Linked DNA regions of Oryctolagus cuniculus. The protein of the gene in region 2 purifies or fractionates together with the protein of the main gene of each other region. This does not show direct contact. Links are inferred from orthologs where the notes say so. Each region holds a gene or a part of one and is shown on either strand. Other genes may lie near its edges.

Region 1 (9,652 bases), on a different chromosome or scaffold from region 2:
GTCCATCTGAAAAGACCTTATTATTCTTTGAGATATGTCTGATTTAAGTAATAACACACTAAAGTAAATAACAGGTTTTCTTAAAGAAAAAAGCTAAAACATTATATAAATATCACTGACTATGCATTATGCAAACTATAACAACATACGACAGGCTTTGGAATATGACCTCATACTATTTCTAATTGTACTTTGGTTTACTAGTTCAGTCACTTCCACTTCAATAAATTTTAAAAAATGATTTTCCATTCAATAGCATTAAGCAAAATCTGACAACAATTAAAACCTAATCTCCCCAAATTACTTCAATCACAGTCAAGATTAATAGCTACTTTAAAGTACAGGTGCTAATACTTTTGAAAATTATGCTAAAAATCAAAGGTAACTAGAGAAGAAATTCTTAAAACTGTAACCCAGTTTCAGTAGAGAAAACAGAACTGACTGATAACATGAAACCTAAATGAAATGTCATACCCACATACTATAGTGTTTTAACAATATACATCAAAACAGCTTTCCTCTAACTCTAATAGGCTCTTCCCTTTCAAAATATTAGTCATAATATGGTAAAACTAAATACTATAAATCTGTTAAAATGATCTTTCATTCTTCAAAATGTTATTTCATGGAATCTTAAGGGGGGGAAAACTGCTAAGATTCTCTGTAAACTTTAAGACAATCGAAACTGCCAAGGACAGTATTGCAGTTTATCAACAATGTTTTATCAAAAAGTACAGTTTATCTAGTTTTATCCACAACATTGTTATATAACTACATGTTATATACATTAAAATTATGTAATTTTAGAGTCTTATCAACAATGTAAGTCCCCAAACATTTCAGTAAGGTGGTTTTCTTATGATCATACAAAGATTAAAGTTACTTAGCTATACCCAAACCAATGAAAGAAAAACCAAGTTGACATGTTTAGCTTTTGGTGTAACAATTAGAAGCATCACCTTACTCAAACCACTCAGGCATTTTTACATCCTGACATATGTGCATACGTTATATATACACACAGAAATATAAACACAATTCACAAATTTAGAACTTTACTACGTATTTAGAACTAAAGACTAGATTCTCTAAGCAGGCATGTTGGGAAAAGTGGCAAGCTTTATCAAGAAGAATTGCAACCACTCTCAAATGTAATTAACACAGCAGAGGGTGTAGTATATGCACTAGAAAGTAAAAGCAATTATTAAATATAAGACATGAATTCCTACATAAATACTGGTCTCACGTACTATACGTGTATCTAGATCATATTTCCTTCAAAAATAAAACAGACCCTATTTCAGATGGCTCTATTTAGTGAATATTAACAGAAACTTTAGGGTAAAATAAGAACTCTTTTTTAAAAAAATCAGAAATTTATACTTCAAGGATCATTATCATACTAATTTGAAGTCTTTGGCACTTTGCAGCACAACACAACTAATCATATGCATTTCTATCATCAAAAATTCAGTTAACACTGACTCTCACAGTAAATCCAAGCTTCAGTAATCACATGAAGAGCTAGCTATCCTCTGTCTCTAAAGTAGCTTTTAGTCCTAAAACAAAGAAAGTAATATTTATTTGCTCACAATAAAGGTATTTCTGTGTAACTTTTTCGATTATGATCCTATGTCCTATAAAAATTAAAACAAGTTGGCACTTGTCTCACATTAATAGTCTTTAATGGAACAGTATCTAAGACTCACTTTAAAAAATAACAAAATGAACACATGCCTTCAAGTGTTAATAAAGTAATAATCACACACAGCAATAACAAAATAACTCTAAGCCTCTAAAGAAACACAACAAAAAGTTACATTTCTAGATACTCCTACAGTCATCTGTACATTCAGGCAAAAAAAGATCAGTGACAGAACTGACTCAAAGGCTGAGTTACACTTTGCTTCCAAAGTATTAGTATGGCTCTGGTATGAACTTTATGCTCCCCAATTCCAATTTTCTGAGGTTAATGTATTCCTTGGGATCTAACCACCTGTGAGAAATTAAGAAGGAAGCTGGGTGACAGAAGGACAGTTATCCTCAGTGTAAAAAACCCATCATAACACATATTGATGATTTATGTAAATAAAATAATCACAGTTAAATAAAACATGATGATCTTTCATCTGGTTTCATACCTAACAGTGTCACACACACATACACACACATAAACACACACACCTTAATTTGTAATACAAATGGTATTTTGGAAAAGCTATGCAACACTGTTGTATCACCAGTAAGAAGTAAGTTGCTTTCACCTGATAAATCATGGTGAATAAGGTCAGCAAAATTGGGATCTTCACCCCACCAAAAAATCCACAGTTCTCTTCTTCCAGGTCTTTGATCTCGCCGCCAAACACCAAGTACATCTGCCTTAAGGCAGCGGCTAAAACTGCTCAAAATGGGGTCTTCTTCTGTCACCGGAAACAGAATAGGGGCAGAAGTTGGGCCTTGCCAAACGTATCGTTTCCATTTAATTCCTGTCAAGTCAGCCTGGAGGAAAGAAAGCATGATTTATTATTGTGTATTCACTGAAAGTCTCAAGCATTCATTATGAAGTACCTTATTTCATTAAGACACTAGAATTTTTCAATGTACACCTAACATACTGAAAGCAGGTTAAGATTTAAAAAAAAAAAAAAAAACTTTTTAATTCTGATAGTAAAACAACCAAGAATCTAAGGGAAAAAAAACTTAAAAAATTGACACCAAGATGTCGCTGCATAGTAACTTAATGAATGTGTCCCAAGAAGAAATAAAAGAACTTAATGATGCTAAATATAAACTGTACTTTAATATTGCACACTGAGTATATATTTCTTCTGTCGTAAGTTATATTCTAACTGGTGACATTTGATCCTTGATATCAAGCTTTTAGCTGAAAATTAATTCTTAAGACCCATCACTACATATTTATTGTAATCATGACTCTAGTGAAAAAAGACACCTGAACAATTCTTGGAAGAAAAAAAAAATTCATGTTAACTCTTCACACACACCCCTCTGGAAAAGTCAAATAATTATCACAAAGAACTGTCAGGCTTGTGCCAGGCTATCTTCAAAGAATCTGATCCTAAAAGTTCCAAAAACAGACTGAGTTGGGAGAGGACAGAAATGTAAAACCCGATGTTTGCCTTACTGTATCTGAAGAGATGCTGATCAACATATTTTAGAAGGGGGAAGTGCATTAAAGACCTCAACTGAACATCATGAAAAAAAAAATGTGACAAAAGAAATTCAATACTTCTTTAAAGATGCAAAGCATGAGGTGCCAAAAAATGAAACTGCTGAAACATGACTGGCTGGCAGTTAACACTTGCCAGCTACTTGTGCTCCGCCCACTTAAAATCACTTACCTATCATATACCCTTTTTTTTTTTAAGATTTATTTATTTGTTTGAAAGGCAGAGCTACAGAAAGGCAAAGGCAGAGGCAGAGGCAGAGGCAGAGAGAGGTCTTCCATCCTCTGGTTCACTTCCCAGATGGCCGCAATGGCCAGAGCTAGGCTGATCCCAAGCCAGGAGCCAGGAGCCTCTTCCGGGTCTCCCACGTGGGTGCAGGGGTCCAAGGACTTGGGCCATCTTCCGCTGCCTTCCCAGGCCACAGCAGAGAGCTGGATCAGAAGTGCAGCAGCCGGGACTCCAACAGGGCCCATATGGGATGCCGGCACAGCAGGCGGTGGCTTTACCCACTACGCCACGGACCCGACCCCCTATCATATATTCTTATTATTTCACATACTACAGGGGAAAATGAGAAAGGAAAGTCACCCAAACTTCGAGTCACTGATGGAGCTCAGCTACTGTCCAACTCAGGACGCTATTATTACGTCCAGCAGTTGGTACTTTTCTAAGTCTTCACCGCTGGGTGTTAGCAGACCTGGGCCAATCGACACAACTGTCATCTCGACACCCAGATTGCCCAGACTTTTTAATAAAACAAGGAGCAGGCTGTTCCAAACCGTCTTAAACAGCAAGCAAAGCAGACAAATATAGAAGCATTTAGTGCAAAAACCACAGCACCTCCTCCATCAGACCTTCCACTCTCAAGAAAAACATAATGTTCTAATAAAAGCAAGATGGCTAGAAATTGTCAAAATGGCAAACTGTTTTCAAAGTTTAGAAAGAAGACATATGAAACAGCATCTACTAGTTTTTGACACAAAGATCTGAAGTCAGCCAAGGAAGAAAAGTAACCCTGAGTTAGTCTGACTCAGGCAAACGAAATGAAAAACGAAGAAAAGAGCCTTTCCCTGCTCCGGGTCTAGGGTCCCGTATACCAGGGGAAACCAAATGACCCGGGGAAGGCCGAAAGGCAGGGGAAGCAGGAGCACTCACGGAAAGTCTGAAAAAGGGACACAGAGTCACCAGGGAGAAAAGCAACAGTTAAGCAAGAAACACAGAGGGAAATGTTCGCGTCCGACCAGATAAGGTGCCCAAGTTGAAGACAAGACTTCCGTGGAAAAAGAGAGAGAGACACGGAGTCCGAAACAGGACAAGGGAGAAGAGCCCACACTCCCAGGACGGAGCCCGGGACAGCCGGGGAGCGGACGCCGTCCCCGGCGCCGGCTGCGGAGCTCCGCAGGGCACCGGCTCCGGCTGGGCCTAGCCCGGGCACTCGGGCATCGGGATCCGACCCGGCCCCCTCCCCCATGGCCCAAGGGCGCCCCCCGGCCCCCTCCCCCCGCCGCCCGCGGCCCCGGCACTCACCAGGCAGAAGAGGTTACAGTGACAATCTTCCAGGCTGGCCCCGTTCTGCACGGAGGAGGAACTCATCGTCCCTCACAGCAGCCGCCGCCGGCGCCACAACCCACCATCCGCCATTACCGCCGCCTCCGACCAGAGAGAGAAACACAGACACCGGGGAGGGCGGGGGGGTGGTGGTTGGGGGGGCGGTGGAAGAGGAGGCCGCCGGGCCGCCCGCCCTCCCCACCCACCCCCCCTGCCGCCGCCGCCGCCGCCGCCGCCGCCGCGAGCAGCCCCCGCCGCCCGGCCGGCACCCAGCCGCCCGGGGCCGAGGGCCGGAGGCGGGAGGGCCGCGCCGCGCTCGCCCGGCGGGCCGGACTGCGGAGCCCGCGGACGCTCGTCCCTCTCCGGGGGGACAGAGGCGATGTGTGCTCCTTCCACAAGAAAAACAATAAATTACACAATAAATAATCAAAATCGAGTCCGAGACCGCAGAGCCCAAGCTCCGGAGGGTTCTCCCGGGCGCGGAGGAGCCCCGAGAGGGGCGGGAAGGGCGAGAACCGGGAGAGGAGCCCAGGCCCCCGGCCCGGCAGCGGCGATGTCCTTAAAGCCCAGAGTCTCCTCAGTGGCGGAGGTGGTGGCGGTGTCTCCGGGCTCAGACCATTCTCTGGCTGTGTCTTCGTGTCGTCCCTGGGCCCCGCCGGCCTAACGTCTGCTCTCCTGCGGCCTCACCGCCTGGACGCCTTAGTCTCCCCCATTTTGTGGGCCCAGCGGGCGGTGTTTTTCCCCCTTTAATCCGAATTCACGGGTTTTCCCTTCGCTTTAATGGCGGCCACAGGGACCAGCTCGCCCTCTCTGCTCGCCCATTGGCCGCCTGGAGGTCACGTGGGCCGGGCTCCGTGGGGAGGGGGAGAGAGAAGGGAGTGAGGGAGGGCCGGGAAGCTTTCGGCTGAGGCGGTGAGCCCAGGGGACTGGGCAGCCGGCGGGTGGCTACTGAAATAGCGCCATCTGCTGGGTGCCCTGGCCGTGTAAGGTGACCCGGGGCCCACGCACTCTCTTTGCCCTGGCGGGGGAACTCTTCACAAGTCTCTCAGAATGACGTGGAAATCAGTTTGAATTCTTTGGAAGAGGAAGAGTTGCCCAAAATTCCAAGGCATTCTCATTTATTCCACGAGGCTGCCCGGGCACAGCGCAAACCCCCGGACTTGGGAGTCAGGGGACAAGGATTCAGCGGCTAAAAATTGTGATAGGAAGAGAGAGACATAAACGAAACAATGCAGCCGTGTGCGGGAGAGCCTGCGCTCGAAGCCGCGGGAGTCCCTTAGCCTCTGTGTCTCGGTCTCCTCATCCGTAAAAGGGGGAGAGACTGCCCCTTGGCACAGAGGCTTGGTGTGCCGAGTTAGCACAAATGAAGCACCCAGCCCCGCCCCGGGCGCAGACCCGCGGGCTAAGAGTTATCTGTGACCTGGGGCGGTTGCCGCGAGGAGCCAGGGAGCCAGGCACCTGCGCGTCCCCCACCCCACCCCCCCTCCGCCCCAGAACCTCCACTCGGTTTGCTTACCGCTGTCAAGCGCCGAAAGAAGTTCCTAGCACACAGTAGGTGCTTGCTTGGTATATGTAAATTCACAAATGCATGAGTGGCTACAAGAACCAGAGAAAATGTTAGCTCCCTTCCCTATAAAACACTTAGTTTTTGGCTGGATTACACCTCAAAGGAAGCGTTCAAAACATTTTCCTTGAGAGGGTTACACCAAAGGAAGAAGGAAAAGGGGCTCCCCTGTTTGGCTCAGGATTAAGCCCGCTACATCCTACATCTGGGTGCTTATATCGAGTCCCCACTTCCGATTCCAGCTTCCTGCTAATGTGCACCCTGGGAGGCAGCTGTGATGTAAAGTACGGGGGTCCACACTGCGCAAGTGGCAGATGGAAGAGCTCTGTCTCTGTGTCACTCTGCCTTTCAAATAAAACTTTGAGAAGAAGAATGAGGGAAAAGATGATTGAGAAGTTAGAAGCATCAATGAGTTAGAACATCGTAATTTCCTCTGTAAAATCAATGGTGGACACTTGCAGTCACGTCTTCAGCCACGGAAGGAGAAGCGTTCCTCAGCCATCCGTGTCTCCTTCTGTGGTCAGGTAAGAGCCCATAGCTTGAAGCCGAAACCACGTACAAAAAATTCTGCCACTTACAGTTGACCTTAAATCAAATGAATGTATCTTACTCTCAGTCGCTGTAAAATGAGGATAATAAAAGTTCTTTTCTTCTGAAGTGTCTAATGAGTGAAACAATATAGGTATAGCGCTTGCCACAGTGCTTACTTAATGTTAACCATTCATATAATCTTTAAAAGCCATTATGAGCACCTGCTGGCTCAGTTGAACGTGTTCCTGGTCTGTGGTAGGCCTGGGATACAAACATGAACAAGATACCTGCCTGTCCCTCAAGATTCCTGAAGAGAGGCAATAAAGGAAAGATTTCATCCAGAAAAGAGAAAATACAGTGGGGGCAATTGCTTGAGCACAGTATGTATCAGCCAGGGCACCATGGGAGCACGAGAGGAGGACCATCAAAGCCCAAGAAGGCGTCATAAAGTAGGTAGCATCTGAAATCAGATTTGAAGGATAAAATGAATTCTTATAAAGCCCTTTGAAGCAGTTAAATCTCATTAAACCCAATTCAGATCCAAAGGCCACATATCAAAGTCAATTATACAACCAGGACTAATTCAATCCAGGAGCTCAAATCAACTAAGGTCAGCATCCTTCATAAGTGACTGCCAGCCCGAGGAGACAGCAATCCGCAGACCCAGCGGCGGAAGAGCTCCTCTGCTGGACTCTCCCCCGGAAAGTCCTCTGCTTTTTGCCGACTGCCTTCCTCAGCCTGAAAGATCCTCCCCCACCGAGCATCTACACCGCATCCATCCTCCAGAGAAGTCTTGCGCTCCCTTGGTCCCGCCCCCTAAGGTGAGCACCTTCTCCAGGACTCCAGCGGCAGGTGGAATCTGCCTGCAACCTACAGATGTTTGACCCTGCATGTGCATGCCAGACTCCCCAAAACAGCAGGAGAGACAGGAGACAAGAAAGGAGGAAGACGAGGAGGAGGAGGAGGAGGAGGAGGGGGACGGTGGGAGAAGGAGGAGGGAGAGGGGGAGGAAAAGAAGGAGAGGGGAAAAGAAGGTGGGGATTGAGGAGAGAGGAAGTGGATGTGAGACACTGAGAGAAAAATGAAGCCAAGTGGAAGAAGAGGACCAGCTCCCCGCACCAAGAGTGAGCGGAATGCAGACATCATGGGAAGGAGCTGAACAGAAGGCAGCAGTATCAGGCCACACAGACCTTGTGAGTTAGCACGTGGATTGTGTAAAGCGGAATTCTATGCGCTTCCAAAGAGTAAGGGGAATATAGACTTAGGTGACGGTGATGTAGGTTCAGCAGTTGCGACAAATGCACCACCCTGGTAAAGAATGTGGCTGAGGGTAGAGGCTGTGCATATGTGAGGGCAGAGGTTAAAAGGGATATAAAAGTAATGAATAAAAGGAAATAATTTAAAACTATGCACACATATGTCAAGACTTTGGAATAGGGGCCCGCGTTGTGGTGCAGTGGGTTAAGCTATGACCTGCAACACTGGCATCTCATCTCGCTGGCTCCTGGCTGCAGCCTGGTTCAGCTCTGGCCGTTGTGGCCCTTTGGGGAATGAAACAGGGGATGGAAGACCTCTCTCTCTCTCTCTCTCTGTAACTCTGCCTTTCAAATAAATAAAATTGAAAATCTTTTTTAAAAAGCTTGGAATAGAGGAATATATAGAAATGAAATTTTCAAGTGTATATTACTCCAAAACCCCGTAACATCACAATTAACCATCTTTTAATATTTGAAGTATTTCCTTCCAAATTTTTCTCTGTATGCTCATATACAAGGAATATGCATGGATTTCAAAAATTCTTTACATTCCATTTTTCCACAAACATTTTTTAAAGTTCATGTACAGTGTGCAGTGCTTTTTTTTAAAAAAAAGATTTATTTATTTATTTGAAAGGCAGAATTACAGAGCAAGAGGGAGAGACAGAGCAACCACAAGGTCAAGAGCAGAGCTGTTCAGTAGACATATAATTAGCCAAATAAGTTATTTGAAATATTTTGGTAGCCACAACAAAAAATTAAAAAGAAATAGATGCATTTAATATTTTAAATTATTTAGCACACTAAATCAGAAATATCATTTCACGTGAAGTCAGTGTAAAAATTATTGAGATAGTTTGCATTCCTTTTTTTCTCAACCAGACCTTCAAAATCTATGCATATTTTACTGACAGCATATTTCAGTTCGAACTACCCACATTCAAGCACCCAATAGCCATGTGTGGCTCATGGCTACTGAGTTGGATAGTACAAGTTTGGAGTCAAAAGCTGAAGCTAAGGACCAGTTAAGCTGTAGAATGAGTGGTCGTGAGCCTCGGGCAGCATTGATTTTCTTAAGGTCATGTTAATGGTTTAATGTTGCACTTAATTCAATAGACAGAAAGGCTAAGAAGTCACAAACCACATTACTCAGTGAATGTGCGGACACCACTCCCTTGAACATAGAAGTAAGCAGCTCCACACAAAGTCATTAGCAAGTTGGAACTGTTAAGGAAACATTGTGATTCTATGCATCAAATACTCTGAAGTGTCTCAAAAGTTGCTCTGACTTGCCATTTTTCTTAGTAGCGTAGAATCCACTTTAACCTCAAGTTTTCTTTCAAATATTTCATTTCAATGTGAGATTTAAAGTAAATTCCCTCTGATTTCCTCACTTTGAAATTAGGTTTGTAAACCTTTCTAAGCTAATCAGAAATTCCCCGCCCACTGCCTTTTTTCTACATGAGCCGTTTGACCTCCCTCGATCTCTTTTCCACAAACGTGATGAAGAGATTACGTAATTGCTACGATTTAACACCTGATAGGTGACACTGTACGAGACAGGC
Region 2 (9,801 bases):
CTTTTTGAAGAACCTTACATGTTATTTAGAAAATATTTCCTGCTGAAATAAACATATATTTTAAAAAGATTTATTTATTTCATTTGAAAGTTACAGTGACAGAGAAATAGAGGGAGAGACAGAGATCTTCTATCCACCGGTTCACTCTCCAAATGGTCACAATGGCCAGGGTTGGGCTAGGCTGAAGCCCAGGAGACAGGAACTCCATCTGGGTAGCCCATGTGAGTGACAGTGACTCAAGTACTTGGGCCATTAATTGCTGCTTTCCTAGGTGCATTAAGCAGGTAGCTGTACTGGAAGCTGAGCAGCTGGAACTCAAACTGGCACTCTAATGTGGGATGCAGGTGTCCCAAGTGGCAGCTTAAGCTGCTGAGCCACAGTGCCCATTCCCATACACTTCTCTCTTAATTCCATTTTCCACAATTGTGAAGTACCTTTGCTCAAGACTGATTCTATTTCTCCTTAAGTCTATTTCTCAGAAGTCTTTAATGGCTTTCTTTTGCCTAAATAATAATGTAGTCTTGCATTAACTTCTGCTTGACATACACAGCTCTTTATGACCTCTGCTTATCTGTTTAGTCTCTTCTTATCTATTCCCTTTCCTTGCCTTAATCTGTCCTTATCTAATCTAGTTGCAGTTCTCAAAATAAATCATGTTCTCATGATATGGGTATATGCTGGCCTGCCTGGCTACTCCATTCGCCCTTCAAGTAAGAACCTACTAATATTCTCTCTCTCTCCATGTTTTTCAGAGTTAAACAGAGTGAGCAAGAGAGCGTGCATTTGAACAACTTGCTGGTTTACTCCCCAGTGCCCTCCAAGGCCTGGAACATACTCCCTTCCAGGCTCTGTAAGAGCAGGAGGTTGGAGCCAGGAGTGGGGACCCGGCAACTGAACCCGTGTACTCTGCTAGGTTAAATGCTGGTTCTTTTTCTCATTCTTTAGAATTTCGCTTAAATCTACCCCAGTCATGAAGCCTATCCTAACTCACCCAGAACTCTGTCTATTCAACCATTGCTCTTTGTACCCACACAGTTTATTTTTAATTTGCTTGCATGTTTGTTTATTCACTAAGTGCAGTTCCCTAAACGGAAAAAGACCAATTTTATTCTGGTATTTCCGGCACTCATCATAGTGCCTGGCAGCAAGGGCAAGTCGTATTCCTCTTGCCTGAAGATACCGTCAAGACCTAAGGAAGTTTCCTAGGACGAGGGGGAGTGTGCTCAGTAAATAAACAATCCTCCCCTTTCCTTCTAATTTTCCAAGCTTCTTTCAAAACCCAGCAGTTTACTATTAACTGTCCCTATTTCTTAAGGTAGTATCGACCATTCCCTCCTTGGTGCTCCTTCTAAAGGTGCAATTTAAGTCCCATCCTAGCTGGATATACTAGCTGGATCAGGTTGTATTCCTTGGGACAGTAGGCAGCCATTTGTAGGTTAGGGGAAATGGCTGCCCTCTGCTTTTCTTCGGCTGGTGGATGAATGAAATGAACACAAACCAGATTAACAGGAGAAAAACAATGTTAATAACATTGTTAATAACAGGAGTTCCAAAGATACAGGTCTTAATGAAGGACCAGGTGATTGAAGCTTCCTGATTGACAATAAGGGACTGGGCTCTGGAGCATCCGGTGGGGTGGTGGAGACAAACTGAGGGTGGGTGAGAGGAGGAACTATAAGGTGAATAATGGCTGGCTTTTTACGCAGATAAAAGTTATCCAGGAATAGTTCTTTTCCTCATACTGAAGCCTGGACTAATCAAAATTTCCTTAATCGACGTAAATTCCTCTTTACAAAAAGGAGAATTTTATACTTTATTTTCGGTGTGTGTGTGGGGGGGAGGGGGTGAAAGGGGGGAGGAGATGAAGAGCTTTTCTTGAATTGACCGGTTCTGAATTTCTCTTCTTAGTTCAGAGGTATCAGTATGCCAGAAAGGCAGGTTTCGGGGTGGGCACAGTCAGGAGGGTGGCGCCGCCTGAGCCCCAACACTTCAATGAAATAATGACTCAACCTTCAGCCGGATTAAAGGCACATATCCGTTCCTAGGAGTGCCCAACCGAAAAAAAAATTAAAAAAAAAAAGGCCTTAAAAAGGCAAGCCAAACGATTGCTTTTAAAACGCTGCATCTTCCGGGCACTTTAATTGTCCTTAGACAGATGGCCCAAGCTCGGCTGCGGGCGCCGCACATGCTCGGAGGGAACCGACTCGAGCGCCAAGAAGAGGCTGATTGGCTGCTGGGGCTCAGAAGTTACTCGTCCTCCTTATCGTAAGGCAAGAACTAGGAAACCGCTGACTCTACAGGTTTTGAAATACGGTTTCTGCATCGTAAAGAAAAACGATTAACCTATCAGGAAGAACCAAGCCTATGCAATTACCAATCCAGAGCGGGAAAGCAGCCAGAGCCCGGGGACACCACGCACCACGGCGGACGTCATTCTCTAGCCTCCGCCAATGAGCGACGGGACGGGGGCGGGCCGCTCGCCGCGGAAAACAAACAACAACCTGCGTTACAACTGTCCTGACCAGTCCTCCCTCTCGAGCCCTCGGAGCGCGCTGCTGCGCGAGGCGCCCTGCGTGTGACACAATTCCCACGCCCCTTCTGGCCCGGAGTACCTCATCCTAGCAGAGCAAGGGCCGCCGACACACCCACGCCCACAGTCTCTCACGAAGCACCCTCCAACTTTGCGCCTTCTACCTTCACAGGAACTGGTAGCCCAGCGCTACCTGAGGGGGAGGGGCGGCCCCAGTGCGCACGCGTGCGTGCTATGCGGGGGCGAGGCTGTGGAGGCCCGAGGTAGTCTGGGAGCTGTATTTCTCGCGCGGGCCGAACGTCCACGGCCCCTGGGGCCTGAGGAACTACATTTCCCAGGAGCCTTCGCAGCTTTGGGGCGGGCGGGCTGGCTCGTTAATGAGCTCGAGGAAGCCGCGGCGCGGCCCACCAGGTTCCAAAACAAGGAAATGAAGGGGGGAGGCGGGACCGGGGGTGCCTGCGGGAGCTGCCGCCGCCGCCGCCGCCGCGGAGGAGGAGTAGGAGGAGGAGGAGGAGGTGGAGGGGGTGGCTGCCGCGGCCGCCGAGGAGTCCCTTGCTGAAGGCGGACCGCGGAGCGGCGGGCGGCGCGCGCGCGCCCGAGAGGCGGCTGTTGGAGAAGTGGAGCGGCGGTCGCGGGGGGAGGAGGCAGAGGAGGAGGAGGAGGAGGAGGGACTGAGCGGCGGCGGCCCCCGCGTCCCGGTGCCTCTATGGGGGAAGCAGACAATGGATTATGATTTCAAGGCGAAGCTGGCGGCGGAGCGGGAGCGGGTGGAGGATTTGTTTGAGTACGAAGGGTGCAAAGTGGGACGCGGCACCTACGGGCACGTCTACAAGGCGAGGCGGAAAGATGGGTAAGAGCAGGGGCGGGGGAGTGAGCTCGCTCCGATCCTCGCCCTGCCCGCGACCCCGCGGGATGGGTGGGTCGGAGCTCGGGCGCGCCGTGCCCCAGGGGCGAGGCGGAGGTGGGCGCGGGGCCGCGTCCCGGGGCGGACTCTTGAGGGACGCCCGCTCTGACCGCTCCCCGCGCGGCCCCTTCGCGCCCCTCGAACTCCCGCGGCGCAGCCCCGTCGGGGGGCCGGTCCCGTTTGGTGGGCGCCCTCCGCGTGCCTGGAGCCGGCGGCGGGACTCCAGCTGGGACCTCGGCTGGAGGTGGAGTTGGTGGGGTCTGTCTCGTGGGGGAGACGCGGAGGGCTGGAAGAGCCCCCGTCGCGGAGTTGGCGCTCCGGCCCTGGGCTGCTGACGGTCGCTGAGGAACTTCCAATCGGCTGAGCGCCTCTCGGGGGCGGCGGTTTGAAACCTGGCGGGGGAAGCCAGGCGGGCGGACGGGCCGGCTGGGCGCCGCCACTCTCAGCCGCGACCTCTGCCTCGCGGGCCCGTCAGCCCGGTGGCCCCTCAGCGCTGTCGCTCCGGTCCCAGTCGACCCTTCCTCCCGCGCCCCTCCGGTTTCGGGGTCTCACTTTCTGAATCGCACACCTTCTCCTTGGAAGGTGGGACCACCGCTTCCTTGACAGGAACCGCGTTTTGCCGGCGGTAACTTCAGAGTTCTTTCAGTTCCGCGTAGCACTGCCCGGGGGTCTCGGGCATTCTTGCGCCCTGCACCCCGGGCGCTGGCCGTGGACTGCGCGCTGGGGCTCTCGGAGCATGCAGGTTACTCCGAGCGGAATACGGAGTGACGGGGCAGGGCCCGAACCTCTGTTGTCCTGGGAGTTGAGGGAGACCCGTGGGAACCCCTTGGGAAGCTGGATAGTGGGCAGCGGAGCTCGCACAGCGGGACAGGTGGAACCAGCTCCCTGCCTTCGAGCGGTGGCTTGCAGCGGGTCGTCACCTCTCGTCCCATCCCCCTCGCCCCGGAACTCCCCTCCCCCGGTGTCAGGGCGCCACGGAAAGTCTGCCTGTCCTGCCTAGACCCCACAGACGGTCCAAGTAACCGGAACAGAGTTTTCAGAATTGTAACGGAGTGTTCTGAGTGAAGTGTTGAGCAGCCACACGACGTAAGACTCAAAGTGCTGCACGCTCTTGTAATCTGATGTGGTTGGTTTATGAATTCTAGAGCCAAGTAGGTAGATTGTGTGTGCTAATTTCGTAAGAGGAACAACAAAGCACAGTTTTATAAAGTATTTTATCATAAAGCATCGTGAAATTGTTCAAAGGCTTATCCCAAGTTTACAGGATTGTTACTGCAGGTAGCTTTTTTCTTTAATAACTGAACAGGTTCTTTAGTACGCAGTTTCTCAGTTCTTTTAGTTAATTACCAGGTATCCTTGCATGCACATCATGGAATCTGAGGTACTGTAATTAAGTTGTATCTTGTTTTCGGAATGTCCACTCGACCTGTTTTACTTGTGCTTCTGTGGATATATTTGGGGAATGCACACGAAGTTTTCCGGATTGGACATTGATGTAAAATAAATATGAGGTGCGTTTTTTTCCATACTCCTCACGCAGACTTTGTAATATACCTCAGAATTTTAAAAATGTATTTTTTTTTTGGATAAAATAGCATTCTTTTAGCAGACTACTTTTGAGAAGTTAAACAAATGTGCTTCTGAATTGTATTTGAACAGGACAGGCTTGCAAGAAGAAGTAATTTAATTCCTGCTCTTTGTTCTTTTTGAATATTTGTCCTTTTAATAAAGTTCTTGATTGGAATACACTCCTTTCTTGAGTGAAATTTATTAATTAGAATTCATAAACTTTCATTACTAGAGTAAGGTCAGTTTGTGCATTTTCAGTATATTTGTTGTGTAGGATCTGAAAGCATTAAAGAACTATTTTACATATATGAAAAATCATAATGAACTTTTTTTTTCTTGGACTGAAATTTTAGTTTAGATTTGCAACTTTCTGATAAACACCTTCGGTAATGGGGTCAGTTAGGTTCATATCAGTGATTTGACAGAATACAAAGTTTTTGCTGATAGTCCCTAAACTCTGATGCAGATTTACATTGTAAAGGATTTTTATATTATGATCATAGTAAATACATTAGCTCTGTTTATAAAAAATTTTAAAGATATTTTAGGGAGCAAGAGATAGATTACATGGGTGCATTAAAGAGAAATTATTCTGGGGATGGGTGTTTGGCGTAGTGGTTAAGATATGACTTGTGGGGCCGGCGCTGTGGCTCACTTGGGCACCAGCATCCGATATGGGCGCTGGGTTCTAGTCCCAGCTGCTCCTCTTCCAGTCCACCTCTCTGCTGTGGCCCGGGAAGGCAGTGGAGGATGGCCCAGGTGCTCGGGCCCCTGCACCCGCATGGGAGACCGGGAGGAAGCACCTGGCTCCTGGCTTCAGATGGGCGCAGCTCGCCAGCTGTAGCATCCATTTGTGGGGTGAACCAGTAGAAGGAAGACCTTTCTCTCTGTCTCTCTCACTGTCCAATTCTGCCTGTCAAATAAAAAAAAATAAAAATAATAATAATAAAAAGATATGATTTGGGACATCCATGCCCTCTATCAGAGTGCCTGGTTTGAAGGTCTGGTTCCACTCTCCATTCCAGCTTGCTGCTGGTGTGCACCCTTACAGGCAGCAGGTGATAGCTTGAGAAGACGGACCCCTCTCATGTCTGGGACCTTGATTGAGTTCAAAACTCCTGCTTTTGGTCAGCCCCAGCCCCAGCTGCTGCAGGCATTTGGGGAGTGGACCAGTAGGTTGGAGATCTGTCTCTTTGCCTTTCAAATAAATAGGAAAATAATTTCAGGTTTATATCTTGTACGTATAACCCCAAAATTGTTGAAGTCTTTAGTGTATACATTGGGAAAGTTAATATACACAGTCATTAGAAAAGCCTCTGCTGGGGCCTGCGCCATGGCTCACTTGGTTAATCCTCCACCTGCAGCGCCGGCATCCCATATGGGTGCCAGGTTCTAGTCCCGGTTGCTCCTCTTCTAGTCCAGCTCTCTGCTGTGGCCCAGGAGGGCAGTGGAGGATGGCCCAAGTGCTTGGGCCCCTGCACCCGCATGGGAGACCAGGAGAAGTACCTGGCTCCTGCCATTGGATCAGCGCGGTGCGCCAGCCACAGTGCACTGGCCGTGGCGGCCATTGGAGGGTGAACCAACGGCAAAGGAAGACCTTTCTCTCTGTCTCTCTCTCTCACTGTCCACTCTGCCTGTCAAAAAAAAAAAAAATTTCTTCATTAGTGAAGAAATATGTAATTTATGATTAAAAATCTTTAGACTGTATTTCTTTAGTTGGAAATAGCTTAATTTGGATTGTTAGAGGAATGTTAAAATGTTCTTTTGTCAATAAGAGTTTGAGACAAATATGATTGCGTTGCGTAGTACAAATATATCTGAACACTGCCGTACTCAGAAGTACTATTCAGCTTTGTAAACTATTCATTTATCCTCTTGAATCACTTCAGTAAGAGAATGCTGCTTTTTGGGAGTGTGTTTATGAGAAATACTTAGTAACTGAGTGAAATGACTAAGAGACATCTTAAAAGTTTCAGTTTTGTCAGGGTGTCAGATAAGTAGTTGATGATGACATATCTTAGTGTGTGTCATGAAATTGTTCACAAATAGTATATTTATAATAGTAGATTTGGCTAAGTAAATGCAGGTGTACAGTATTTGCCTGTTTTGACTTTATAGTTAAAATACATTATCATATAAGGGTAGTTCAAAAAGATCATGGAAATTTTCATTAATTCTATTTTTCCATGAAGTTTTTGAAATATCTTACATCTGCTTTTTGTTGGAAACTACCAAATGATTAAAAAGTTTTTTAAAAGTTACATTTTTTTTATTAAACTGAGAAGTAGGGAAACAGTAAGAACTTCTATACACTGATTCACTCCTGAAATGCCTAGAGTGGCTGGCCAAAGCCAGGAGCCAGAAACTCAATCCAGGTCTAACATGGGTGTGAGGAACCCAGTTACTTAATTTGTCATATGGCTGCCTGCCATCTGCATTGGTGGGAAGCTAAGATCTGGAGCACAGTAGTATGCAGGTATCTTAACCACTAGGCCAAATGCCAGAACCTTCTCTTTTTTTAGACATCTGTTTATTTGAAGGGCAGAGTTACAGAGAGACAGAAGCAGAGAGAGGGAGAAAGAGAGAAAGACAGGGAGAGGTCTTCCATCCATTGGTTCACTCCCCAGTTGGTTGCAACAGCTGGAGCTGCGCTGATCCAGAGCCAGGTGCTTCTTCCAGGTCTTCAATGCGGGTACAGGGGCCCAAGGACCTGGACCATCTTTCACTGCCTTCCTAGGCCATAGCAGAGAGTGAGATCAGAAGTGGAGCAGCTGGGACTCGAACTGGCGCCCATATAAGATACTGGCACCGCAGGTGACGGCTTTACCCCCTATACCACAGCACTGGTCCCCAGAATTTTCAAGAGTCTGAGAACTTCTATTTGAACTTGCTCTTAAAAAGGAGAAACCCAGAGCTCTGAGAGGTTAATTTTGGCTCAGAGTTTCACAGCAAAGATGAAGCCTGTAATCTAGGTCTAACCCTGGTTCTTTCATTTTCTAGTATGTTTTGTGTTCCTATTTAAAAAAATTTTTTTGGGGCTGGCATTGTGGTGCAGTGTGTTTAAGCTGCTGCTTGGGAACCCACATCTGATATTGGAGCACCTATTTGAGTCTTGGCTGCTCTGCTTCCATTCCAGCTCCCTGCCAGTGCACCTGGGAAGGCAGCAGATGATGGCCCCAGTAATTGGGCCCCTGTCGTACACATGGGAGATCCAGATGGAGTTCCAGCTCTTGGTTTCAGCTGGGCCAACCCCTGGATATTGTGGTCATCTGAAGAGTGAACCAGTGAATAGAAGATTGTCTCTCTCTCTCTCACTCTGCCTTTCAAATAAATTGAAATTATTTGAAAGTGACATCTTTCATCTGCTGGCACTCTGGCATTATAGGTGGCAACTTAACCTGTTGGGTCACAGTTCTGGCTCTCTGTATGTAGGTAGCACTGTAGGTAAGAGTAACGTGTCACAAACTATTACCTGCAAAAGGGTCAGCATTATATTTTCAGTGTCTTGTACAGGGTTAGACATTATAATACACAGTTAGAAACCATATTGAATTTTAAAATATGCTCCAGATTGGCAAACATGTTTCATTGATCTTAAATCAGAACACTTTTTTAGAAAGCCAGCATTGTGGTGTAGCTGGTTAAGCCTCTGCCTGTGATACCAGCATCCCACATGGGCACTGATTCAAGTACCAGCTGCTCCACTTCTGATCCAGCTTCCTGCTAATGTGCCTGGGAAAGCAGCAGAGGATGGCCCAAATGTTTGGGCTCCTGCCACCCACGTGGGAGACCAGGAAGAAGCTCCTGGTTTCGATCTGGCCCAACCTTGGCTGTTGAGGCTGTTTGGGGAGTGAACCAGCTGATGGAAGAGCTCTCTCTCTAACTCTGCCTTTCAAATAAATCTTAAAAAAAAATTCCTTTTTAAAAATAAGTTTCTTTTCTTGAAAATCCCTGTTTTTAGTATTTGTTTTAAAAGCCTGTGAACATGACCTCAGTGGTTAGATATAAGTATTGATATAGGGCTAACTAGGTCTGGTGTATTTTTTCTTAGGAATTGTGCTGGTTTTTAAGATAGTTGATGACAGTTTTTTAATAGATAATAAAAATAGGTTATTTTTTGGAAATATTAAGCATCTTTTAGGCCAGCTCTTTTATAGTTGCTAGGTTGTAGTAATATGTTTTCTGTGCTTTTTGTTTTATTGAAAGTTCTAAAATATTTATGTGGCACAGCGGGTTAAGCTGCTACTTGCAGTGCCTCTGGCATCCCATGTGGATGCTAGTTGGAGTCTTGGCTACTCCATGTCTGATCCACCTTCCTGCTAATGGGCCTGGTAAAGCAGCAGAAGATGGCCCAAGTACTTGGGCTCTTGCCACCCACAAAGGAGACCTAAATGGATGGAATTCGAGACTCCTGGTCTGGCCCCTGGCCACTGTAGCCATCTGGGGGAGTGAACTAGTGAATGGAACAGATCTCTCTCTCTCTCTCTCTCTCTCTCTCTCTCTCTCTCTAATTGTTCTGTCTCTGCCTTTCAAATAAATAATAAATACTTTTTTATTTATTTGAAAGTGTTACAGAGAAGGAGGGAGGGAGGGAGAGAGAGGGATATCTTCCATCTGTTGCTTCATTCCCCAAATGGCCGCAACAACCAGGGCTAGGCCAAACTGAAGCCAGGAGCCACAAGTTTCTTCTGGGTCTCCCAGATGGTTGGGGGGCCCAAGCACTTAGGCCATCTTCCACTGCTTTCCCAGGCACATTACTAGGGAGCTGGATCAGAAGTGGAGCTGGGACTCAAACCAG

The links. Proteins that work in one complex are often made in the same cells at the same time.
Region 1: the proteins of CDK19 (region 2) and MED13 purify together in Homo sapiens (affinity purification with mass spectrometry; 6 studies listed by BioGRID and IntAct, counting the BioPlex papers as one, with this or other methods). This does not show direct contact. The link is inferred for Oryctolagus cuniculus from reciprocal best matches to the Homo sapiens genes CDK19 and MED13.

The regions. Positions count from the first base shown.
Region 1 is NC_091448.1:35,405,992-35,415,643, reverse strand, and holds the start of MED13 (mediator of RNA polymerase II transcription subunit 13), read right to left. Parts: upstream 5,528-9,652; 5' UTR 4,782-5,527; coding exon 4,716-4,781; intron 2,500-4,715; coding exon 2,265-2,499; intron 1-2,264. UniProt on the Homo sapiens protein: Component of the Mediator complex, a coactivator involved in the regulated transcription of nearly all RNA polymerase II-dependent genes.
Region 2 is NC_091436.1:60,779,451-60,789,251, forward strand, and holds the start of CDK19 (cyclin-dependent kinase 19), read left to right. Parts: upstream 1-3,407; 5' UTR 3,408-3,442; coding exon 3,443-3,678; intron 3,679-3,711; exon of another isoform or gene 3,712-9,801.